Arabidopsis thaliana: one gene and its partners. The protein of the gene in region 3 binds, or shares a complex with, the protein of the main gene of each other region. Each region holds a gene or a part of one and is shown on either strand. Other genes may lie near its edges.

Region 1 (4,001 bases), 1.8 Mb from region 3:
ATCTTTACTAGATTTGCTTCACATGCGCAAGTGTCTTGAGTTCAAGATTCCAACAAAACATAAAAACAAAACTCAAAGATCCAATCAAAGGATCATAAACTAGGCTATGAGTTAAGAATCAATACCGACGTAATACTCGAAAATGAGAACGACGGTGAGAATCGCCCAAACTGCGAATTTACTAGCATCTTGAAGCGGCTCTTTGAGAAAGATGACGAAAGAACAGAGTGCCAAAGCAATTCCCATCTTGATGGAGAAGTAAAGTTTCCTACGATCAGAATGTCCCAGCGCGTACAACTTCGCCGGAGCCTCGTAGAGAGCCCTCCACGAGCAACACCGGAACTTGGAGTCACGGCTATCAGCGACGTCGCTTGACTGCCAGAGAAGCTTCTCTGTGTTTTGCTCCGGTACTGATCCCATTTTACCTCCCATTAGAAATGATTCTGACAATTCTACAGAACCTGAGAGATTCTTGTCGTCCTTACGAATAGAAAGATGTTTATTTATCTATTTATCAAGATTTGTTTTGTACTACGCAATTAATGCATGCCTTCGATTCATCATCTCTAAATAATCAAGTTTTTTTAAAAAATTTACAATTTGGTGCATCTACATTACAAATTTTAATAATTGTCCGATTTATAACTTTGATGTTTTTGGTTGAAATCTAATCATTAACATATTAACCACCAAAAGTGTCCAAATTTTTTGAAACAGATGGAATTTAAAACGTGAGAATTTACATTTGTGGACCAGTAATGCATAAATGGACCGGTAAGGCCGTAATATGATTTTTTGTGACTATTAGTTATTCAGTAAAAAAATTAAAAATAGAATTATATTATTTCTTAATTTCTGTTCAATGTGTTAATGTTTCTTAAACTGTAGACTTTACCTTTTTGGCTCAGCTACATAATATTTTTTCATAGTTACCCGATTTAGTAAGTTTTTTTGTTGAATCTAAACATCAACATAATTCATTGTGACCAGTAAAAGTGTCGCAGAAATAACAACAGATATCTATGGATAAACAACCTGAGAATTAACTATAGTGGACGTGTGTAATGTAAATGGACCAATAATGTGACGGTGAACAAATTTACACACATATCTTAAAGTCTCTTCAAGTTCAAGACTCTAATAATTGAATTACAGACCCACAGTTTTGGAGAAGTTGCAAGTATCAAAGAGACGACAAGTTTCATGGTCGTGACTTGTGTGAATGTGACATTTTGAAACTCCTACTTACTACCGCATCGCATCTTACTACTTCCTAACTATGCTCAAAAGCCAAGCCCTACCCTACACAGTGTACCCACCCTCACATGAGATTTTTCCTACTTTTTTTTGAGAAACAACAATTATTTATGTATTTTGGGTGAGTTTGATTGTTTTATCCAATTATTGTATGCTGAAAATAAAAAATATCGTGTGCACATTATATAATAACTACGATGTAAGAAGTATTTCAAACTTTTACTATATATACTCATCGAATGATGTTCATGAATGACCATCATGGTGTCTTTCTCCTTAAAGGCTTTCTCATCTCATCTATCCAGTGCTACTTCAAGTCCAAAGAAAGACTCTTCTTTGGCCTCAGCAAACCTGTGAAAATAAAGAAGACGATTTTTTAAGATGAATCATGTGACATAATGTAAAAAGAATCATGTGACATATATAATGTAAAGGCCACTTTCTCAACAATTATTTGTTTTTGATAAATAAATAAAACAAATTGAGGACATCTTGCAGCGTACAATATCGATAATTATATTTTGTTAAAAATTGTGTTTTGATTAATACAAAAATTTATTTCACACAAAAAAATTTATTGACTTTGATCAAATCATGAACACTAAACAAAGATGAGGTTTTTAATTTTTGTATAAATACTTGTGGCTGTCAAATGTCATTCGAATTAAATATGATATGATTAATACTTATATGTTGAGATCTTTGAATTAGTCCCTCGAAAATACTTGAAACAGAGTCTGTATTTTTAAAAGTCTACTTCTCAAAGCTTCAGGTTTGTATTCATGGGCTTATAATAAACTCTGTATTCTTGACCCATTTAATGATGGGCCAAGTCAACAAAGCCCATAAATTTGATAGTCAAACTACTTTGAAACTCCACCCAAAAATGTGACCATATCTTCCTTATCCATATTCTCACAAAATCTCCATTGTTCTCTGAGAAAACACAAAAATGATGTCATCAATGGCACTCTCTTCTACTTCCCTCTGCTCTTCTTTCATCTCTCAACATCCAAAACTCTCCATCACTGCTTCTCCTCCATTGTTCCATACCCAAACAACCAAACCCATCTCTGTAAAACGGAAAATCATAACTCTAGCAGCTCCAGAGACACTCACCGCTGAAACAGTCACCGGAATTGATACTTCCGACAACACTCCACAACAAACAATAAAGGTAAAAACAACATATTCTTCTTCATCTTCTTGTCTCTTGTGTTACAAAACCCACAAATCTTTGTTGTTTGTGTTAGGTGGTGAAGCCAGATGAGAAATCAAGAGTGGTACTCAAGTTTGTGTGGATGGAGAAGAACATAGGATTAGGATTGGACCAACATGTACCTGGACATGGCACAATCCCACTTAGTCCTTACTTCTTCTGGCCTAGGAAAGATGCTTGGGAAGAGCTTAAGTCTACTCTTGAAGCTAAACCATGGATCTCTCAGAAGAAGATGATCATTCTTCTAAACCAAGCCACTGATATCATCAATCTCTGGCAACAAAGTGGCGGCAATTTAACTTCTCAATAATCTCTTTTTTGATTTCTGCATTTCAAGAATTCACTTTGTCTATGATTATTATTGCTATTGAGAGTTTTTTGTTTATCTAAACAATATCCAATCACATTCGACATAAAAGATTCATTTTATTGGAAAGAGAAAATGATAATAAAAGCAAACATCAAGCAACTCTGAGTTATTGTTTCCTTGAAGGACATATCAAACGCTTGATGGTTGAGATTTTGCAGAGAAGAGCTTCACCATAGGATTTAGAGACTCTCCGGTCACCGGAATATGTACACGTTAGTGTCACTTTCTTCTCCAACACACTCACCAATATTGAATATGTTTCTGCTCCAAGAAAACAGAGGAAACAAGCGTGAGAGGAAAGAACAAAAAAGTGTCTCATCTCGGAAGTAAGTAAGCTATATACTCACCGATCATCCTCGCCATTATGTCGGCGACTTTCTCTTGGCAGTCACTACATCTGATGTCTGCTGATAGAACAATCTCCTGAATCTGATAACACACAAGATCAATTAAAAGAATCCACAGAGTTGAATCATTCTAAGACAAAAGTGTTAAGAGAGTAACGAACAAGTGGCATGGATAACGATGCGACAGAAGCGAGACTGGTTTCACTTGTTCTTGAAAGCTTGCTTCTTAGTGATGGTTCAAGTTCCTCCTCGACGATTTGAGACAGAGTAGCCATGACACTCTCGTTGCACAGAGAAGATAGATAAAACAGGAAATGAAGAATCCTATAGAAACAGTCTCTTGTACAAGGAAAGATAAGTAAAACAAAAATCTAGAATCCTAAAGAAACCACCAAACCAAGAGTGGGAAACGAAGAGTGTCGCTATCCGAAAAGGATGAGTTAGCAAAACTAGTGACAGAGGAAGCCCATCTTTGCTTTTGCTTTAATCTTTGGAGAAAACTAAGTTTAGAGACTCAAGAGACATGTTAACACACAATAGAGATATAATATATGCTTTGGATCCATGACTTAGTGTCCATTAATCTGAGTAAGAAAGTCAAGTTCTTTTGGCTCCTCTTTATTTCCTCTACATTGTTTGAAAAAGATGCTTCACTCACCAAAATGCAACCCCACCAAAATCATTCAAGTTGGAGGATTCTGACTTGGTCTTAAACGAATTTAAATAGCTTACCTTTTTCACCTTACCCTACCTTTTGGTAAGCCAATCATCTATAGCACAACAAGAGATGATAATAGGTAAAAGTTTA
Region 2 (3,411 bases), on a different chromosome or scaffold from region 3:
CTTCTACGAATAGCTCGTAATGCCGCATCTCTTCCGAGTCCAGGGCCTTTTATCCTTACTTCAGCTCGTTGCATACCTTGATCCACTACTGCTCGAATAGCATTTCCTGCTGCGGTTTGGGCAGCAAAGGGTGTTCCTCTTCTTGTACCCCGGAATCCACAAGTACCTGCGGAGGACCAAGAAATCACCCGACCCCGTACATCTGTAACGGTTACAATGGTATTGTTGAAACTTGCTTGAACATGAATAACTCCCTTTGGTATTCTACGTACATTTTTACGTGAACCACTACGTGTATTTTTACGCGAACCAATTCTTAATATAGGTTTTGCCATTTTTTTTCATTTCACAAGAAATATATGGATATATCCATTTCAGGTCAAAATAGACCCTTTTTTCCAACTCTTTGGAAGTGCCTTTTCTTTTACTTTAGTTCCTTTAGTAAGATTATCCTTGTCTTTGTTTATGCCTCGGGTTGGAACAAATTACTATAATTCGTCCCCTCCTGCGGATTAGTCGACACTTTTCACAAATTTTACGAACGGAAGCCCTTATTTTCATAGTTGTTATTCCTTAATTCTGTGAATATATTTATTGGTGGACGAAAAAAAGGTTTCTTGATATTTTTGAATCTTGAATTGTATCTTCGTGAAAGGAATGGTTGAAATTGAAAAAACACTTACTCATTTGAATACTTATTATGGAGTCTAGAAAATGGCTGTCCCCTTATTAACTTATACTTAAGAACTTACTCAAAATTTTACCTTTTTATCCTATAGGTATACCTATACAAAAATATGTCGAATCCTTTCAGAAGCATGAACGAAAAAAAATCTTTAGTATCTAAACAAAATCGAACCATGCCGTTCGGAAGTGATTAAGAAAGAAAACTTTTATTAATTCATTTTTTCTTTAATTTCATTCGAAGTAAAACATCCGAAACTTTTTTGAACAGGGGTGGTATTACACAACCCCCTTTTTTCACAAATTGTAAGTTACAGATATCTAATTTTTATATTAGAAGGATTACCATATATAACACAAAATTTCTCCGCCGATTCTTTTTAGTCGAGCTTCTCGGTCTGTCATTATACCTTGAGAAGTCGAAAGGATTACAATTCCTATTCCGCCTAAAATTCGTGGAATTCGTTGAGAGTTAGAATAGATTCGTAGACCCGGTCGACTTATTCTCTTTAAATTTAAAATCGTTTTGTAGGATTCTTTCTTATTTCGTCTATGTCTTAGGGTTAAAATCAAAAAATATTGGTTGTTTTCGCGATGTTTCCTTACGTTTTCGATAAAACCCTCTCGTAAAAGGATTTTAACAATACTTTCCGTGATGTTAGTCGATCCTATCCGAACCGTTCCTTTTCTATTCATGTCAGCATTTCGTATAGAGGTTATTATATCAGCAATGGTGTCTTTCCCCATGATAAGTTAAAATTCCTTATTGTTCTATAATTTTGATATAATCAACATGTTCTTTTTCTTTTATTTATATATAGATATAGACGAATTATATATTAATATATGAATTAAATTCTTAATATTTTATTATTAAGGGTATATGCGTGATACAGAATCTATTAATTAATTTTATTTCAATACCTGTTTTTTTAATCCGATACTAACTATCGCTATCGATATTTAGATCTTATAATACCTCAGGAGCTAATGAAACTATTTTAGTAAAGTTTAATTGTCTCAATTCCCGTGGGATCGCCCCAAAAACTCGAGTTCCTTTTGGATTTCCTTCTTGATCAATGACAACTGCGGCATTGTCATCATATCGTATTATCGTCCCATTGTTACGTTTGAGTTCTTTACAAGTACGTACAATTACAGCTCTAATCACTTCTGATCTTTCTAGAGGAGTATTTGGTATTGCTTCTTTGATTACAGCAACAATAACGTCACCAATATGAGCATATCGGCGATTACTAGCTCCTATTATTCGAATACACATCAATTCTCTAGCCCCGCTGTTGTCTGCTACATTCAAATAGGTTTGTGGTTGAATCATATCATTTTTTTTGTATCTCTTCTTTTAATGCAAAGGACGAAGTAAAAAAATATTGTTTGTCAAAAAAAGAAAACTTATAATCTTTTTACCCTTAAATGTTATTTAGTTTTTTCATTATATATTCCTATTCAGAAATAATGAATTGGGTTTTTATAGGCATTTTTGATGCCGCTATTGAAATAGCTTTTCTTGCTATATTTTCGGGTACACCACCCATTTCATAAAGGATTTTACCTGGTTTAACCACAGCTACCCAATACTCAGGGGATCCTTTCCCAGAACCCATACGCGTTTCCGCAGGTCTTACTGTAACTGGTTTGTCTGGAAATATACGTACCCAAATTTTTCCACCACGTCGTACATTTCGTGTCATTGCGCGTCGCCCTGCTTCTATTTGTCTAGATGTGATCCAAGCGGGTTCAAGTGTTTGAAGAGCATATCTGCCAAAACAAATACGATTCCCACGAGAAGATATTCCTTTTAGTCTTCCTCGATGTTGTTTACGAAATCTGGTTCTTTTTGGGTTATAGTTGATGGTTCTAAATTAGAAATTCCATCTCTACTACAGAACTGAACGTGAGAGTTTCTTCTCATCCAGCTCCTCGCGAATAAAAGGACTAAAAAAGCTTGTATTAAGATATAGTTAATGATTAATTCTATTAATCATGATATTCAATTTCATCTGATCTCTTCTAAATTTGTGTATGTCTTTTTCGAAATGGAATCCAAGATTAATTCTATTTATTTAAAAATAACGTAACGTAATATCATCATCTCGAATGTCGTTTTTGTTAGAATATTCTAACAAATCCTTATTTTCTTTTATCTTTTTAATTTTTGTTTTTTATTACTTTTATTAAAAAAAAAGTATTCGCCGGCGAATATTTACTCTTTCAATATCTATATTAAGTTTGTTGTTTATCCCAGGAGATCTCTGAATAAAAATAAGAATAGATAATAATCTGGTTTATTCCGCCATCCTGTCCAATGAATTACTAAGATTTATTTTTCAATAGAATCCTCTATATTCATGGGTTCCGTCGTTCCCATCGCTTCTTGATTAATCATTAGGCCCGAATTCTACAATGGAGCTCTTATATGAAATCGGGAATTTCATTTTTTTTATTTGTTTTTGAGTCAATTTTCTTAGTTTTTATTGGCTCAAGGCTCTTAATTTTTTTTGTTTTCGGAACAGATTTATCTAATTATTCTGAATGAATCTGTATTGATGCTTTATTACATTGCTTTTCTTACAGTGACCTCATAGACTTTCCAAATTGGAATAATATATCATTAATATTCAATTTTTTCTCTCTTTCTTTCATCCTTCCACTGAATCCGCATACTTTTCGATTACCTTTCATAACTTATAATTATAGTTCTTTATT
Region 3 (5,140 bases):
CATGGCTAAAATTTGAACATGAAGATGATGAGAAACCGCCACGCTCCACCGTCTTCGACCGTCTCGACGAGGATGATGATGATGATGATGATGATGGTGATGACGCTCCTAAAACATGGGAAGAAGTCAGCAAATCTCTAGAAACTAAACTTAAACCTGCCGCCGTTAAACCGCCGGAAGTAGACTCTGTTAAACCTCCGGCGACTCCTCCACGGCGGCTTCCGCGGAAGAGCGCATCGTTCCACACACTGGACGAGCTTGAAGTGAGGGCCAAAAGAAGCATCGCCGCGCAAATCCCGACGACAATGGTTAAGCTTAAGAGAACCGAGTCGATGTCCAAGCTAAGACCCGAGTCAGATGATCGAACCGAGTCCACTCAGTCGTCCTACTCGGGGCCTCGGTCAGTGAAGGAGAACATATTCGTCAAGAGAGACAGAGAACGGAGGGAGAAAGAAGGGAACAAGAAGCCGGTGATGAACTGGGACCCACTTAGGGAGTTCCCGGAGAAGTGTCCGCCGGGAGGAGGGGAAGGTTTGATTGTCTACACGACGTCGTTGCAAGGAGTGCGTCGCACGTACGAGGATTGTATGCGTGTGAGGGCCATCATGGAGCAGCAAGGAGTTGTGGTGGACGAGAGGGACGTGTCTTTAGACGCCGGAGTCTTGAGCGAGCTTAAGGAGCTTCTCCAAGACGAAGCATCAGTGGCGCCGCCGCGAGTGTTTGTGAAAGGGAGGTACTTGGGAGGAGCAGCGGAAGTGACAGCGATGAATGAGAACGGGAAGTTAGGGAGGGTGTTGCGGTGGGCACGTGTGGAGAGAGTAGGGGAGGAAGGGAGGCTCACGTGTGAAGGGTGCGGAGGAGCGAGGTGGTTGCCTTGTTTCGAGTGCGGCGGAAGCTGTAAGGTGGCGGCGGTTGGGGCGGCCAAAGGTGAAAGGTGGGAGAGGTGTGTCAAGTGTAATGAGAATGGATTGATTCGTTGTCCCGTGTGTTTTGTTAATTAAGAACATTATTAGTTTACACAAGCAAATAGAGGTGTGTCAAATATACTTTGTCCCGTTTGTTTTGTTATATGTATGTGACACGTTTGATTTTGTGGAATTGAAAATGATTTGAAACTATGCTAGGATTTTCATAAAATGTTAAAGCATGAACGTGAACCATTATAATGCTAAGCTTGCAAGGTCTCTCACTCGTATATGTTGATGGTTTTGATCAATTACGTAAAGGAGTTCAACAATCTCACTAATTTAAGTTTGGATCGTCAGAAGGTAAAAGCTGGCAAACAAAGTCACTTCTGCCTGAATACTTTACAAATTTGTTCTTTGTTGCTATTTTGTTTGATTGTTATGCATCCGTTGAGGATTTTGTGCTATGAAACAGAGTAATATGAATTCCATCATTATAGTAACTATGGCAAGTTAGTGTTAGTTAAAATCTTTTAATGAAAATGCATACAAGTATGCTTCTCAAACTTAGCTTTAAGAGTTTCTCACAGTTACATAAGAAAGCAGAGCAATGCACAAAAAAAGATACAAAAAAGATAGATTTACTTTTGTTCTTACAAAGAAACAAAAAAAGAATCTGACATTTTTCTCACATACACAATGTTCATGGTCTTCAGTTGTACTTCCTCTTCTTTATCTTGAAGGAAGATGATCGGATAATGTCATCGTCGGCAGTGAGAACGGTCTCGAGTGGAACTATTGATTCGGGTTTGGTGAAGTAAGTGAAGAGAAGGTAGATTCCATCCAAGTAAGTGTTGGTTTCTCCAGCTTTGTTCTTCTTTCTTATGCTGTAAGCCAACGGAATCACTCCTCTGTTAAACACTTCCACATACATTCCACCTCCTGCCACAAGCAACTGCCACACACACCAAAAAGAAATCCCAGCAACATAATGAATCTTTCAGAGTCTGCACCAACTAAAAACTTCCACTACTCCGAACATAAATTTCAGAATTCCTCATTAGATTAAACATGTGATATAGCGTAAAAGAACCCACGCGTAAACCACAAATGATAACTGTGTATTAGCTCGTTTCGAGCATCAAAGGACATTTCAAGAATTGAGTTAAAATGTTATGGTAAAACATGACTAAAAAACTAAGAAGTGCACTAAGGGCTCCTATCTTGTTTCAAATGGTTGAGACTTAAAGAATTCACAGCCCACAGAAGGATGAGATTTGCTCTTAGAAAGTTAAACTCTTTACTTCAATTTTAACAAGGAGTCGTCACAAACATTCAATTGATAGCTGCAAGTTACACAACTCTACATTGAAACCATTTTCTCTTGCTTTGTCATTAACGTGTAAGAACAGACACAAGATACAACTTTTAGTGATCTCTTACTCAACTTCTAATTGAATCCTAAAATCTCTTTCTCTCTCAAATAATCAAATTTCCCTCTGACATGAAACAGAAAACAGGTAAAGTTGGAGACTTTTACTTACCTCTTCGTATTTCTGGGTAAGACCAAGCCGTTCATCTTCAGACATGTCTGGTCTCAAAACCGCCATTGTTTCGTACTGCCTGAGCCCAGGTGGGCACTGAGGTTCCGGTTTGTCTTCAAGGGCAGTTGAGACTCCCGACCCGGAAGGAGAAGTCGGGTCATCATCCGACCCGAATCCACCTTCAAAGAAAGTTCCAGAGAAGTCAAGAGCCTGAGATTTCACCACAAATTGAGAGCCATCTCTCTTCTGTATCGAGGCACACATAGGTTTCGACTTGGAAATGAATGGCCTGAGAGAGTGGGAGAATGATAGCAGCGGCTGCGAAGATACATTAGGCAGAGGGCAAATTGTGGAATTTGATACACACAGCGAAGACGCCATTGTTGTGAGATTGTGAAAGCAAAGAGGAGATGAGAGAGTAAAATTTGGATAAGAGATGATGATGGTACACATTAGTCAGAATTCTATTGTACACCATGGGCCTTTTTAGGTTATTGGGCCTGTTAAAGGCCCGTTTTGTAAAGACAATTATTTCTATCTGTATTATTTGTCTTCGCGATCAAGCCAGTTCTCGGAGCAATCAAATCTATAAGAAAAGAATCGTCGCCGGTGAAGAGAAAAAACCATAGAAGCGATGGATCCGCAGCTAACTGAAGTTTCACAGCAGTTCGAGAGATTCAAGGCGGCGTTTGCGAGGAAGGATTACAATACCTGTAGCGATCTGTTGTCTCAGCTTAAGGTCTACATCTCTCTCTCTTCTTTGAACCCTAATTTGTTTCAATTCACTTCTTTGCATATCTGCTTATTGAACCAACTTTGGGAAAATTGATGGGTTATGTCGCGAGAGTTTAAATCTATGAGAGCTTTGATTTATTGAAGTGAGAATTTTTAGCATATAAGTGTGTTAAGGATCTTTTAGAAGAGCTAAGTGCTATGAAATTTTTAACTTTCTACTTTAAGGGATTGTTGGGATTGGTTTAGATTTACAATTTACTGGTGCGAGTCTCTGATGTCGCTGGGGTTTTGTTGTGTTCTTCAGGTTCTTCTTACCAAATTCACAAGTCTTCCTCCATTGTTCGAGAATTCACCTAATGCAGCCAAGGAATTGACTATTGCAAGTAAGTTTCTCTTTTTCATTATTGGTTTTACATGAGCTATTTGCTAGTAAGTTTAGAGTTTTGCTTTCAATTGCATGGAGTGTTTTGGATTTGTCTATTCTCATGAGTTATTTGTTAACTATACTTAAATACCACTGAAGAGTGTCTGAGGGATTGTACTGCTTTAGTTTGTCTGTCTATCCCTATATGTATACATTAATCGTTGAATGCTGCATTGGTTTGGATTGAGTTATTGGTAATTTTTGTTCTTATTGATTATCCGTTTCTAAAACTTTGACAATTGGTGTATTCTAGGGGACATTTATGAGCATGCTGTTGTTCTAAGCGTCAAAACCGAGGATCAAGATGCTTTTGAGAGAGATTTCTTCCAGCTGAAACCTTACTATGTGGATGCCAGGTAAAGAAAGAACCAACTGTCTGAACATTATCTTTTTCATTTTCTTTTGGTCTAACATATCTTCTTTTCCTCTGCACCAGGAACCGTATTCCTCAGTCTCCACAGGAGAATCTTATCCTGGGTCTTAACCTTCTGAGGCTGCTGGTACAAAATAGAATTGCTGAATTCCACACCGAGCTTGAATTACTTTCATCAGCTACACTAGAGGATCCTTGCATCAAGCATGCAGTAGAGCTTGAGCAATCCTTCATGGAGGGTGCCTATAACCGTGTGTTGAGTGCTAGACAGACCGCGCCTGATGCAACTTACGTCTATTTCATGGATCTCTTGGCAAAGACCATAAGGTAGCATCAATGAGTCTGTCCTTCTCTGAATTAGTTCAGTCTTATGTCTTCTCGCGTGTTATCTCACCTTTTTATTGTTATGACTGAATTCACAGAGATGAAATAGCTGGATGCAGCGAGAAAGCTTATGATTATGTCTCTATCAGCGATGCCCGGCAGATGTTGTTGTTCTCTTCTGATCAAGAACTCTTAACCTATGTCACAGATGTAAGAGAAAAAACATTTTGTGCAAAGTTTAGAATCTTTTTTAGTTTCATGAACCATTGACGCGATTTAGGTTTTATCAAATCTTATAGGAGCATCCTGAGTGGGAAGTGAAGGAAGGGTTTGTTGTCTTCCAGAAAGCCAAAGAAACTGCACCGTGCAAAGAGATTCCGTCTCTGCAACTCATCAACCAGACTCTAAGCTACGCCAGAGAGCTGGAGCGTATCGTGTAAGATTCGACTTTTCTCACTGCTTGTCTCTTCTCTTCTGTTATGTTCCTGGAAATCTCTGGGTCAGAAAACTTTGTTATCATGTAATGACCGATATTGAGCGACTCAGTATTTTCTCCGGGTCAATGAGACTTTGTTGTGATATCAATCTGTTTTTCCATATCCTTTTACGTTATATTCTATTGTTTAGTGTTCACTCGTTTTCAATTGGAGACTCTGTCCTCCTCACTTTGATGCTTTGCTTGAACATGATGTCCATAATTCTAGGGGTGTTCAAAACTAGGTATAGTTTGGAATTCAGAGTTACCGTGGTCCGGGATACTCAATTTCGGTTTGGTTTGCGGTGGAATGTTTTAGTTCAGTTTGGTTATTTGAATTTGGGTTTGGTTTAGTTGTGG

What was found. Proteins that work in one complex are often made in the same cells at the same time.
Region 1: AT1G64510 (region 3) and PSRP3/1 share a complex: the UniProt entries of both Arabidopsis thaliana proteins name them as parts of the 30S ribosomal subunit.
Region 2: AT1G64510 (region 3) and rps8 share a complex: the UniProt entries of both Arabidopsis thaliana proteins name them as parts of the 30S ribosomal subunit.

The regions. Positions count from the first base shown.
Region 1 is NC_003070.9:25,756,378-25,760,378, reverse strand, and holds PSRP3/1 (Ribosomal protein PSRP-3/Ycf65), read left to right. Parts: upstream 1-1,967; 5' UTR 1,968-2,209; coding exon 2,210-2,434; intron 2,435-2,510; coding exon 2,511-2,786; 3' UTR 2,787-2,952; downstream 2,953-4,001. Other genes in the region: AT1G68600 (aluminum activated malate transporter family protein), read right to left, coding at 126-432; AT1G68585 (uncharacterized protein), read right to left, coding at 2,953-3,107, 3,194-3,275, 3,355-3,468. UniProt on the Arabidopsis thaliana protein: Component of the chloroplast ribosome (chloro-ribosome), a dedicated translation machinery responsible for the synthesis of chloroplast genome-encoded proteins, including proteins of the transcription and translation machinery and components of the photosynthetic apparatus.
Region 2 is NC_000932.1:79,042-82,452, forward strand, and holds rps8 (ribosomal protein S8), read right to left. Parts: upstream 1,432-3,411; coding exon 1,027-1,431; downstream 1-1,026. Other genes in the region: rps11 (ribosomal protein S11), read right to left, coding at 1-335; rpl36 (ribosomal protein L36), read right to left, coding at 448-561; rpl14 (ribosomal protein L14), read right to left, coding at 1,655-2,023. UniProt on the Arabidopsis thaliana protein: One of the primary rRNA binding proteins, it binds directly to 16S rRNA central domain where it helps coordinate assembly of the platform of the 30S subunit.
Region 3 is NC_003070.9:23,953,376-23,958,515, forward strand, and holds AT1G64510 (Translation elongation factor EF1B/ribosomal protein S6 family protein), read right to left. Parts: upstream 2,930-5,140; 5' UTR 2,903-2,929; coding exon 2,450-2,902; intron 1,861-2,449; coding exon 1,618-1,860; 3' UTR 1,428-1,617; downstream 1-1,427. Other genes in the region: AT1G64500 (Glutaredoxin family protein), read left to right, coding at 1-1,001; RPN12a (regulatory particle non-ATPase 12A), read left to right, coding at 3,084-3,188, 3,489-3,567, 3,862-3,964, 4,045-4,308, 4,404-4,515, 4,605-4,745. UniProt on the Arabidopsis thaliana protein: Binds together with bS18 to 16S ribosomal RNA.